Linked DNA regions of Canis lupus familiaris. The protein of the gene in region 1 interacts with the protein of each later gene in a biochemical or structural test. Links are inferred from orthologs where the notes say so. Each region holds a gene or a part of one and is shown in the gene's direction. Other genes may lie near its edges. The genes, in order: PJA1 and MAGED1.

Region 1 (6,626 bases):
GAAAATGGCTTGGCATTTCAAGTTGAGGTTGAGATGCTCTGATCCGTGTCCTGCCTGCCGTGAGCCCCACCTCCTGGCATTTCTGACCTTGGGGTACCCCCTCCCCATAAGTGTGGACTAGACCACTGGACAATTCATTTAAAAAAATGGTATAAGCATTAGGATGCCACTCCCGAGATCTGCCTTGAAGAAATGTCAAAAGAAATTTTCCAGGACAAAAAAATGACATAGGACAGAAACTTAGATCTATGTTTTAAAAAGGCAGAGGATTTGAGAAGGAATAAATAAAAGTATAAAAGGACAAAATCTTGCATTTTTCTTAACTGATCTAACAAATAACAATTTGTTAAAAAAAAAACAATAGCAGCAATGTAATGGATGATAATGGCTTATGGACAAGTGAAATGGAGGACAGCAATGTTATAAAGGACATGAGGGAAGAATTGGGTGTACTCTGTTATAAGGTACCTGCACAACCCATGAAGTAAGGTTGTATCGTTTGAAAATGGGCTTGGATTAGTTGTAAATGTACATTGCAAACTCAAGGGCAACCACTGAAACAATGTAAGAATAAGAAATATAATTGAAATTATGGGAGGAAAAAGTGGAATCTTATAAAATGCCCAATTAAAATTAGAAAAGGCAGAAAAAAAGGGAGAAACAAGGAACAAAGGCAATGAATAGGAAACAGTTACAAATAGGGTAAATATTAATCCAACTTATCAAGAATCACTGTTTGACTACATCAGTTAAAAGAGCAGGGACTATCAGAATGGATTTTTTAAAAAGACCCCCCCAAAAGATGTTGTTTACAAGAGACTCATCTTAAATATAAAGACACAGAGAGATTAAAGGTAAATGGATAAAGGGAGATATACATGCCAACATTAATAAAAAGAAAGCTGGAGCAACTCTGTTAATTCCAAACAAAGCCAATGTCAGAGCAAGAAACATTATCAGGCATAAAGACAGGCATTACAGGGATCCCTGGGTGGCGCAGCGGTTTAGCGCCTGCCTTTGGCCCAGGGCGCGATCCTGGAGACCCGGAATCGAGTCCCACATCGGGCTCCTGGTGCATGGAGCCTGCTTCTCCCTCTGCCTGTGTCTCTGCCTCTCTCTCTCTCTGTGTGACTATCATAAATAAATAAAAATTAAAAAAAAAATACAGGCATTACATAATGATAAAAGGTATAGACTCGTATCTGAGCATCTGAAGAAAATAAAATCTGCTTAATCTGTATGACAGGTACATGCAAACATGCATTTTATACTCTTCTGTATATTGGAAATATTTTAAATTATTTGATAAAAATCGCATCCTTTCTTGAGTACAAAAAATATATACATTAGATTAGGTTTACTAATTGTGTTGTTCAATCTCTCTATATCCTTAGTTTGTAGTCTATTTGGTCCATTTATACCATAATAAGTGTGGTTAAGTCTCCCACTATAATTGAGAACTTTCTGATCTTTCTTGATATTTCTAACATATTTGCCTTATATATTTTGAAATCACATTGCTTGGCATAGAAAGTTTACTAACTGCATCCTCTCTATGAATGAAAGAACCTGTTTTGTTCTCTTTAATCCTTTTTATTTTGAGTTCTTGATTTTTCTGATATTAACCTTGGTACATGTCTCTTGTCTTCTTTCTTGCTTTTCTTTTTTTCTTTTAATTCCTCCCTCCTCACTCCTTCCTTTCCTTCCTTCTTCATTTCTTGTGGTATTTAACTGGCATATATTTTCCATTTCTATATCTGCTTTAAGTGAAACTCATATAAACAGCATATAATCAAATTTGAAGAAAAACAAAATACTTAAAATGAGAGTCTGCCTTTTATTTTTTAAAGATTTTATTTATTCATTCATGAGAGACAGAGAGAGAGAGAGGCAGAGACATAGGCAGAGGGAGAGGCAGACTCCTCACAGGGAGCCCGATGAGGGACCCGATCCCTGAACCGGGATCACGCCCTGAGCCAAAGGCAGACACTCAACTACTGAGCCACTCAGGATTTCTGAGAGTCTGCTTTTTTTTTTTTTAATTAGTGTTAATCCATACTATATACTGATATATTTGGATTTATTCCTGCCCTTTGGGTCTTAAAAAATAGCCTTTCTTGTTGCCTCCCACCTCACTTCTGCAGTTTGATAGATTGAATTTTTCTCTTTGTTCGACATATTATTTTTTTAGTGGTTTGTTACACATACATCCTATTCTTATTATATTTGTTACCCTAATGTTTCCTGTCCTTGTATTGTGCATTTTGTTTCCAAGAACAAAACTTTGCTATTGTCGTGAACATGGAGAGTCTTTACATTCCATAAATATTAAAGATGCATTGTAAAGTGCAATTAATAAAAGAGTTCAGAATTCTGTAAAATTATACAAATCCAAAAGGTATAGCTATAGTATTTTTAAACTGCAATGAGATTACCAGGTTGTGAGTCGGTATTACGCTTCATGACTGATCATTTCTTTTGGATAGAAAAGGTTGGTTTCGTTAACAGAGAAAAAAAATTAACAGCAACAAATTCTACTGTAAACAGTTCAATTGCTTCAATTACCAGGTCAAAAAAAAAAATGAACCTGCAACTCTAGATAAAATTTCACATTTTTTTATGCTTCTAGTACAAACCATGCCATATAACATAGGATATGATATATTATTGTAATTACTTGAACATCAGAATTAATCAGAAAGAATTTGTCGACTTCATCTTTAAAAAGGGGGAGAAAACCCCCAGAACAGAAGAGGGTATGGCTAAATGTTTAACATTTGCTAAAGCTGGCTGTTGGTTACATTTTTTGCTGTCCTTTTCTGTATCCTTGACGATTTCATCATTTAAAATGAAATCATGCTCTCGGGCCCAGCCTGATTGGTGGAGAGCAGCTGCCGCCCCGCCACATCGAGGGGGCGGGCCCGGCGACGCCACCGGCACTTCCTCCGCCGCAGTCGCCGCCTGCCCGGCTGCTGTCTGGCGGGGGAGGAGCTGGAGACCCGGAGCAGCCCCGGCGGCCCTGACGCTCGGCGGCCCGAGAGCTCCGCTCGCCCGGAGGAGCGCGCGGCTGTCAGCCCTGGGTGAGTGGAGGCTGTTTCCTCAGTTCATCCGGAAGGGGCGGCGGGGCAGGTGGCGGGGCTTGGGGACGAGGGTTCGGGTCCTCTAGCGAACAGATCTTCAGGCGCGCCCCTTGGGAAGGGGTGGGGTGGACGCAGGACCTGCCTGCAGAGTGAGGCCTGTATCCCCCGACCTGTTCGGGGGCGTCATCCTCCATCTCCCAGCCCCCTTCGCGTGGCGTGGCCCCTACTCGGATGGCTTCAATTGCTGTTTGAGAGGGGAGTGGGGGTCCGGGCCCTCCCCTACTTCTTCCCTCCTTGGTCCCTTTACAGAGCACTCCATGTCCTTTCTTCCCCCATTTTGCAGTTGTTTTTCCTGAATGGCAAATTGTTCAGATTTGTAGGTAAATATATTATCGTTCCCAGGAAAAAGAATTGTCTGAGAAACCAGTTATTACCAGGGAAAAACTAGACCCTTGCCTGCCTTTCCTTTCTTTTATTCCCCTTCCCTGGCCATCGGTTTGGAGTTGCCAGTGTGAGCAGTAACGTTTTGCCATCTCTCTTTATGACACTGTGACCCCCTCCCCCTCCCCATGTCTCGCATGTGTGGGCAGGGACATACACAGACACATGCATACATGGTGCGCGTGCACATGCACGCACACGTACGCAGGCATACATACAGACACACACACAGAAACCTCTCGTTGCAGCCCCCTCCCTGCACCCCCCTCATACTCAAGGTTTTGGCACATCCTCTTCCCCTTGAGGACGTGGACAGACACACATACACACACTCTTGCACAATGTCACACCCTCCTGTGCCTTTCCCTGCTTCTCACTGCCTGCCACATACTCACCTCCAGAAGCAGCCCCCTCCTTCTTCTGCCTCTGTGTGAGCACACACACACCACACACACCCCTTCTGGGGCTGCCCTAGCCCTTGCCTGCCACACACATGACGATAGCGTTTGATTGCTGGCTCCTCTTTCATGTGCCACATACATACATACATATATATGCACGCACACACTCTCATTCACACAGCCCTCACAGATGCTCCCAGCCCTGCTCCCCATCTGCTACATACGTGCATAGACAGCCCTCCTTTGCTGGTTCCTGCAGTGCAAACACTCACATAAATCCTTCTTTGGGGACACCATCACCCCCCAGCTAGCCACATTCGTGAATACACATATTTCCCTGATTGCTGGCTCCCTATTCCACCCACCAGCCACCCTCACATCCCTCTCCTGTGCTGTCCCTCTCGTGGATGCGTTCACTCACACTGACATTCTCCACTGTTGCCTCCCATTTTGCTGAATACTCACAGACCGTGGCCACCCTTGTCCAATGCTACCAAACCCTTTCTTGCCTGCCACAGACACGTAAACGGGCTCCCTCCACAGAGTTGCAGCCACTGCACATATACAGCCACACATGCACATTCTCTTTCTGTCATGCTTACACATACCCCTCTCCTCTGAAGCCACCCCCCACCCTGGCACCTGTCATTTCCCTACCCACATCCAGAATGGGTGTCCTTCTGTCTGACACTAACGCCTCTTCCCAGTACACCTGTCCCCTCCCCCTACAAACATGCATCTCTTCATTGCATGATGACTGCCCCCCCCCTTCCACCTGTCCCTCTCCTCCTGACAGACACGTTAGGCATTCATGAACACATGGTGATCTCTTTTTCACCCCATCCCAATTTGCATTTCTCCTGTCTGTCTGCAGGGCTCAGAAAAGATGCAGATACCCCATAAGATAACCACAACAATCTTTCCTCTTCCACATTGGCCTAATTTCACACTACTTCACCCACCTTCCTAGCATCCAGGCACCCCCATCTTCTGTCAGATTCTCCCCCAAGTCTGGCTCTCCAACCAACCCAGCTTTGTAATCATTTTGCCAACATTAAAAATGTGTTCCAGGTCTACACCTGACAGTCACTGGAATGCTACTTCAGGCCTTAGAAGAAAGTGAAACTAATTGTAAAGGCCCCTTATCCTTTCTGTTACTGCCTGCTGAAGTGAAAATAGATCTCCCTGCTCTTTTATTCTGAACTGATTTGACTTTCCCATCTCCCAAGCTTGTGCAGGGAGCAGGAGCCTTTCCGCTCAAGCCCCAGCTGTATTGGAAACCCTCCTAAGTCAGAGCCATGGGTCAGGAATCTAGCAAGCCCGTATGGCCCAAGCCAGCAGGAGGGTATCAGTCCAATACAGGCAGGAGGTATGGAAGAAGGCATGCTTATGTCAGTTTCAGGCCATCCTCGAGCCAGCAGGACAGGATTTCCAGCCAGAGAAAGACAACATCCGAAGTCCCAATGCACAGATCAGCCCCCAGTCAAACCACCAAGAGGAGCCGGTCACCATTTTCCATCACCCGTCGTAGTTGGGAGGACAGTGAGAGCTCTGGAGCCAGCCTGAATGTTGATAATGAGGACTACTCCAGGTACCCACCGAGAGAGTACAGGGCTTCAGGTAGCAGAAGAGGATTGGCTTATGGACATGTTGACTCTTTTGGGGCAGATGATAGTGAGGAGGAGGGGGCTGGGCCTGTTGAGCGAGCACCAGTTAGAGGGAAAACTGGCAAGTTTAAAGATGATAAGCCCTACGACCCAGAGAAAGGGGCCAGGTCTTTGGCTGGGGTGGCTCCACAGTTCTCTAGCTTTAAGCGTGATGTGAGAGAGGAGCTTGACAAGTTAGACCCGGCCCCTGCAGCAAGATGCTCTGTTAGCAGAGCTGAGTTCCTGCAGCAAAATAGCATGGCCTCTCAGACATCTGCTGAAGGCAAGGTGGCTACCCGTGGTGACAGCCGGGAGAGTCAGAGACGGGAGCAGAATTTCCCTGCACATCCCAGCAGGGCTCCTGTGAGTATTTGTGGTGGTGGGGAAAACACCCCCAAGAGTGCAGAGGAGCCGGTGGTGAGGCCTAAAATCAGAAATCTGGCGAGCCCCAACTGCGTGAAACCAAAAATATTTTTTGATACTGATGATGATGATGATATGCCACATAGTACTTCCAGGTGGAGGGATACAGCCAACGCTGAAGGCCACTCGGATGGCCTAGCAAGAAGAGCCAGAGGTGAGAGTTCAGGTGGCTACTCTGAGCTGAAGTACCCCGAAGACAAGAGGGAAGCCAGGAATGACCAAGTGAAGCCAGAAAAGGTACCAAGACGGCGGCGAACCATGGCTGACCCTGACTTCTGGACGTACAGCGACGATTACTACAAATACTGTGATGAAGACTCTGACAGTGACAAAGAGTGGACTGCTGCTCTGCGGCGGAAGTATCGAGGTCGAGAGCAGAATCTGTCGTCCAGTGGTGAAAGCTGGGAGACTCTGCCAGGGAAAGAGGAGCACGACTCTGAGCAGGTCAGAGTGAATGCTGGCGCCGGCGCCAGTGCCAGCCCGGGTACCGGCGCCAGCGCCGGCAGCAACAGCAGCAGTGAACTGGAAGACCTCCGAGGACCACCTCTTCAGGAAGAGGAACACGCATCCCCCAGAGAACGAGAAGCTCCTTGGCTCCAGTACAACGAAAATGAGAGTAGCAGTGAGGGGGATAA
Region 2 (6,714 bases), about 9.0 Mb from region 1:
GCGCTTTCCAAATTGTAAGCACTTGTATGAGACTTTGACTTAGGGTGGGAAAAGGAAAAGCTGAGTAGTTAGAGAGGAGCCTGGAGAGAGAGAGAGACAAAGTTAGACTACCAAGGTTTTTGTATACCATGCTAAGGAGTTGGGATTTGGGGAGAAACATGGAGGGTTTGAACTAAGTGATCCTGATGACTGAGAGAAATGGATGAAATCTGTAACTATTCATATATCATCCTTTCAGTGAGTTTTTCCATAATAGCATTCGTCTCCTCTTCCCCTGTGTACATTGCTATCCTACTTACTTGCTTTGTTTCTTCATAATACTTGTCACCTTCTGGTATGTTTTTTCTTAAATATTTTATTATCCGACACAAAAATGTAGTTCCTGTGAGGGCAGAAATTTTTATCCATTTTGGTCATGGCTCTATCCTCAGAGCCTGGTGCATATTAACTGTTCGATAAATATTTGTTGCATGGATTTGTCAAAATTTTGAATGTGGAGGAAGTCGAGGAAAAATTATCAGATTTCGATGCCTCTGGATTTCTGATAATCCACTGGCTAACTTTTCCACCTCAATTCCCAAATACAATTAATTATTAATAGCATAAGCCCCTAATTTTCTGTATTTATTCTTTGATTACACCAATATCCTCTGAATCAACCTCTCTGCCTCCAGATTGCACCAGTACAACCCATTTTCTGTATTCTGGTTTTAAATATTACTAAATACTTTCTTGCTTAAAATTTTTCTTTGGCTTTCTGTTTTCCTCATAATTAAGCTCAAACTCCATGATCCTTCCTTCTCTGGCCTCTTCTAACATTCAGATTCATGACCCATTACTACTCCTTTCACAGTATACTTCAAGTCCACTGCCATTCTTCCCTTTCATTCGTCCATTCAATAATCTATTCAACATTAAACAAATCTTTATTGAGCACTCTCTAGTAGATAAGGTGTATTTTAGGTTTTTAGTATTCACCAATCAATGGGATAGTCATAGTTCCTACAAGGTCTCCTTTACCTATTATTTTGTCGCATTATAGCGTTGCTACTTGTTTATGTATTCATTTCCCCCACTGTTTGGAGGGTCTTGAAATCCAGGACTGAGTCTTATTCTTCTTTATATGGGCAATATCAGGAACGGAACCTTACGCTGAGTGGTTGTTCAGAATCTGCTGTTTGAATGACAAAATATGAGTTAAAATGTTGAAATGAACTATAAAAATACCATCAAAAGTAAGAACCTGGTGCTGGCCCCTGTCATTTCCCTGATCACATTTTGGTTATTTATTCATCTGACAAACATCAATAATCACCTATTTTATGCCAGGCTCTTATGTGTTTAAAATGTCACGTTTAGCTCCTAAGCTGTGGGTTCCTACTGCAATGCCCATGAGTGTAGCGCAGTATTTGGGACATGGTAGATGCTCACTGTATAGTAGTAGATTGACTGAAAATAACCACAAAAAAGGAAAACAGGTACAGATTTTGGACCCAGTGTTTTCTGGAGGTAGTGGCAATAGGTGATTCAATATTGAACTTTTAACCAGAGTAAGGATTATTCTTATTATTGAAAATTTTGGGAATCCCTGGGTGGCTCAGCGGTTTAGCACCTGCCTTCAGCCCAGGGCATGACCCTGGGGACCCCGGATCGAGTCCCACGTCGAGCTTCCTGCATGGAGCTTGCTTCTCCCTCTGCCTGTGTCTCTCATAATAAATAAATAAATAAATAAAATCTTAAAAAAAGAAAATTTTGTCAGTTGTCATTTTCTTGGGGGGGGTATATACATATACAAGAATGCTTTCTAGATGAATTTACCTTTATTTGTTAATTTGAGTATAGCATGTAACTCTTTGGATACTATTCCGAGACAAAAATGATTCAGATCTAAGATTTTTTAAAATCTCGAAATCGAAGTATGCCACTTATAAAAATGAACTTTTTACTCAACATGGTATGTTAGAAAATGGTAAACCAGTATGGCAAATACATAACTGTTGGCATCCAAGAGTCAAGGCACTAAGGGTTAGGAAGGTATTTTAAGGGCTAAATCAATAAGGCGAGGTGACAAATTTGGATATGTGGGGTTTGGCTGAAATAATGCAGTTCTTCGGATGACTAGAGTTAAAATTTCTTTTTTTTAAAGATTTTAGGGCAGCCCCGGTGGCTCGGCGGTTTAGCGCCGCCTTCAGCCCGGGGTGTGATCCTGGAGACCCGGGATCGAGTCCCACATGGGGCTCCCTGCGTGGAGCCTGCTTCTCCCTCTGCCTGTGTCTCTGCCTGCCTCTCTCTGTGTGTCTCTCATGAATAAATAAATAAAATCTTTAAAAAAATAAAGATTTTATTTATCCATAAGAGACACAGAAAGAGAGAGGCAGAGGGAGAGGGAGCCCGATATGGGACTCAATCCCGGGACTCCAGGATCACGCCCCGGGCCAAAGGCAGGCTCTAAACCGCTGAACTACCCAGGCGACCCTAGAGCTTTAATTAGTAAAAAGTTACTGTCTCTGAGCCGGTTCACATCACTAACCAGCTTCTGATACGCTGAAAGCCAGAGCAATAAAGTATTGTAAAAGCTTGCTAGAGAGGCACAGGAAGTTGCCTGTAAAGGGGGCGTGGCGTCGGAAAATAAGTTTCCGCCAAACGAAGGAAAATAGCGCTTCCGGTTACGCCATCGTTGTGTCGGGGCTTTCTTCACTGAGGTGAGTGGAAAGAAAGAGGCTCATAATTTTCACAAGTGAGTCTCCAAACCCTCCCGGGAAGCTTTCCTCCTTGCTTCAACATGGGGTGGAAAGATTTCATCCCCAGAGCACATTGTGTGAAGGATGTTTCTGACGCTTATGGTTCCGGTCGCCTGTCTACCTATTCTGAAGATGGCAGGCTGTCCTCCCTCTCTATTTTTGTCCTTTTATCCCTGGTCATTCTTCACCTCTCCTCGTTACCCCAGATCCTCTTCCTGATATTTCTGAGCCTGGGCCATTTCCTCTACCACAGATTTTTTTCCTACCTCTTAACTTCCACCTTCTTCCCCGGCCCCTTTTAGCCTCAAAACTTTTGCAACCCCCTTCTCCCGTTAGGAATCTACGCCCTTCCTTTTTCTTCAGCTCCAGTACTTTACTTTCCACCCCCCCCGCCCCTCCTGCCCGCCTCTTTCAGAGTCCTTTGAATTAAAAACTTGCCAAAACCAGGTGTGACTTCAGTTTCAAGGTCAACTCTTTTATTTCCTTAAAATAAGCAGTGGCAGAAATTTTAGTCCTAAGACACAGGAGCTTGTTCAGATTATTATATTATTGCTGAGTTTATTTTTACTCTTAACCAAAATGATACATCAGAAACTGCACTGATTTTAACCCTCCTGACATAAAAAAAAAAAAAAATTGGCACAGAACTCAATCCCCACTTTTTAGAGGAGCAGTCATAGGGGTTTTGCCTGTAAAACTTGTGTCAATTCTTGATGGTCGAAGCTTTCCCATCTCCTTTAGAACTTGTCATAGGACAGAAATGGTTGACGGATATGACATCCAATCACAAATTTATTTTTTCATATGAGTTATGCCTATTCAAATCTTTTTCTGGTCTTTGGTGGCAACATTGAACAGCAAGCTGACAGATTTTCAAAGTTTTCCTGGGAACTTCGCAAGTATTCTCTATTTCGTGCAAGGTGAAATATATTTTTCTGTTCCATTCATCATGTTTACTTTGTCTCGTGAGAACGTTAGTTAATCACAATTTATTATTCAATTTTTTACCCAAGAGAGGGGATATGATCATTAAACTTAAAATGAGTGTCAGGATTATTCAGGCTCTAAAGAGGAATTTATTCACCAAGAATTCCCTTGAACAAGCAATTTATTCCTTTCCTCCTGTAACTAGTGTGTTATACTTGCCAAAATAAGACGTAAATCTTTTTCTGGGCTAGGTGTAATTTTCAGTTCGTTTAGAAAAAAGTCAGGCTCGACTTCATGATACTAAAACACTTAAAAACTTTTTTGAAGGGTATTGCTGATGTCTCTGTATTCTCTAGTCAAGTTATAGTAACACAGCATTTAAATATCCCACGGCTTCAACCCAGTGTGCAACCATCATTTATTCATCTAAGAATTTTTTTATTGAATAACTTTATGTGTCAGACAGTGTTAAGCACTGAGGATACAACAGTGGAAAATAAAAAGCTTATTAAACTTTAGTTGAGAGACAGTAAATGAATATATAGTAAATATGAGTAAGTTGTAATGGAGAGGAGATGTAGTATTTTAAATAGGGATGGTGAGGAAGGCTTCCCTGGTAAGGCAACATTTGAGCAGAAACCTAAAGGAAGTGAGGGCACGAACTATGTACAGCTATTAATGGGAAAAACAGGATATATCTTATGTTGGTGTCTCTGTATTTGTTCACTCTGCTTCCACACCCCCCTTGCCCATTGTCACTTTTTTGCATGGCTTTAATGTAGCACTCTACATACTGAAATAACCTAATCCAGGCACATACATTTCCCATATTCTTTTGTTTTTTAATCTTGGCGAGCTTCTTGCTATCAATTAGGTATGTTGTTAGTTACCAGCCCTCTAGGAAGACATGTCTTTACATACATTTAGGTATGTTGTTAGTTACATACCTAATACGTCTAGAAGACGTATCTTTACATCCATCCTCACGTCTTCTTCAATCTTTTATCCGCAGTGCATTGTGTGCTATCCTACAGCATATTTGCTTACCTCTCTCACTGCTCTTATCACTGTGTGCTCATGATATGTTGCCCATAAATGTTTGGTATGTTAAATTGGAGGAATTGAGTACTTGTCTGTCTGTACAGGCAATCTTTTAAATATAGTTGGCCCTGGGATGCCTGGGTGACTAGGTAGTTGAGCATCTGCCTTTGGCTCAGGTCGTGATCCTTGGGTTTTGGGATTGAGTCCCGCATCAGGCTTCCTACAGGGAGCCTGCTTAACCTATGTGGTGGTATTGTTTGATCTTTCATTTGTATTCACAATTTATTTGTAATTGATTTCTTTGTATGTTTTCAGTATGAGTTATTGGTATGCGTAAAGGCCCCCCTTTTGTACATTTTTTGAAATGGACATTCAAGGGTGCCTGAGTGGCTCAGTCGGTTAAATGTCTGCCTTTGGCTCATTTCATGATCCCAGGGTCCTGGGATCAAGCCCTGTATTCGACTCTTTATTCAGCGGAGAGTCTACTTCTGCCTCTCCCTCTGTGCCCCCACTTCACCTCATGCTCCCACTCTTTAAAAAAGCAGATATTTAATCAACCTAATATCACTATTGAAAAGATAGCTATTTCCCTCCTATAGAGTCATGTTTTTCATAAATCAAATGACTAAGTTATTTATGTGGGTTTATTTCTTCTGAATTTTGTTCTGTTTGGTTAATTTTTCTATCCTTATATAAGTACCACTGTTATAATGGATGTCCTTTTATAATATATATCATATGTATATAGTCATTTAGTCTTACAGTTTTGTTCTTTTTTTTTCAATAATGCCTAGTGATTCTTGGTCTTTTGAATTTTCATATGCATTTTTAAAAAATATTTTATTTATTTACTCATGAGAGACAGAGAGAGGGAGAGGCAGAGACAGAGGCAGAGGGAGAAGCAGGCCCCGTGCAGGAAGCCGGATGTGGGACTTGATCCTGGGTCTCCTGGATCATGCCCTGAGCCAAATCAGACGCTCAACTGCTGAGCCACCCAGGCGTCCCTCATATGCATTTTAGACTCAGCTCATCAATTTCCACAAAAATTCTTCTTGACATTTTGATTGAAATACCACTTAATACATCCATTTGAGAAACATACATCATGGCACTTTACCCTTAAATATCTCAGTGTTTATCTCCTAATATTAGGGACATTTTATAGATAATTTAATTACCATTATGTCACCAATAAAAATTAAGAATAATTTCCTAATATCATCTAATACCTATACATTTTCTTTTTTTAATTAAAAGTTTTTTTAAAGATTTTATTTATGACAGAGAGACAGAGCATGAGTGGGGATAGAGGGAGAGGGAGAAGCAGACTCCTTGCTGAGCAGGGAGCCCAATGTGGGGTTCCATCCTAGGACCTGGGATCATGACCTGAGCCGAAGGCAGACGCTGAACCGACTGAACCACCCAGGTGCCCCACTTAATCCGTTTTCAAATTTCTTTCTTTTTCCCAATGTGCCTTTCATAGCTGATATTTCTGTTTTAAAAAAGACAAGTGGTGCTTACTAAGGTTCTATTTATCATCAGGCAATGTATAACATTTTATTTAATTAAAACAAAAAAAAGAATTATGATGTACAAATTCTTCCATTTAATAGGAAAGGAAAGGAATCAAATTGGTTAAGAAACTTGTTCAATTACAAAGCTTCAAAAGCTGGGACGCCTGGGTGGCTTAGTGGTTGAGTGTCTATTTTCGGCTCAGGGCATGTCCCGCATCGGGCTCCCTGCGAGGAACCTGCTTCTCCCTCTGCCTATGTCTCTGCCTCTCTCTGTGTGTCTCTCATGAATAAATAAATAAAATATTTTTTAAAAAGCCTCAAAAGCTCTTCACATTCAAATGCATAGTTCTATAATATCCCATGCTCTTATCACTGTATATCATATACAAAAGAATAAAGGTAAAAATCAAATAATAAAGAGGTAGGGAGAGGAAGAAATCCTGCTGAGGGACCTGTTATTTATAAAATGCAAAATATAAGTCTTAAAGCTG

What was found.
Region 2: the proteins of PJA1 (region 1) and MAGED1 form a complex in vitro, tested with the Homo sapiens proteins (2 studies listed by BioGRID, with this or other methods). The link is inferred for Canis lupus familiaris from reciprocal best matches to the Homo sapiens genes PJA1 and MAGED1.

The regions. Positions count from the first base shown.
Region 1 is NC_049260.1:53,796,618-53,803,243, reverse strand, and holds the start of PJA1 (E3 ubiquitin-protein ligase Praja-1), read left to right. Parts: upstream 1-2,929; 5' UTR 2,930-3,080; intron 3,081-4,993; 5' UTR 4,994-5,220; coding exon 5,221-6,626. UniProt on the Homo sapiens protein: Has E2-dependent E3 ubiquitin-protein ligase activity. Ubiquitinates MAGED1 antigen leading to its subsequent degradation by proteasome. May be involved in protein sorting.
Region 2 is NC_049260.1:44,748,248-44,754,961, forward strand, and holds the start of MAGED1 (melanoma-associated antigen D1), read left to right. Parts: upstream 1-2,657; 5' UTR 2,658-2,702; intron 2,703-6,714. UniProt on the Homo sapiens protein: Involved in the apoptotic response after nerve growth factor (NGF) binding in neuronal cells. Inhibits cell cycle progression, and facilitates NGFR-mediated apoptosis. May act as a regulator of the function of DLX family members.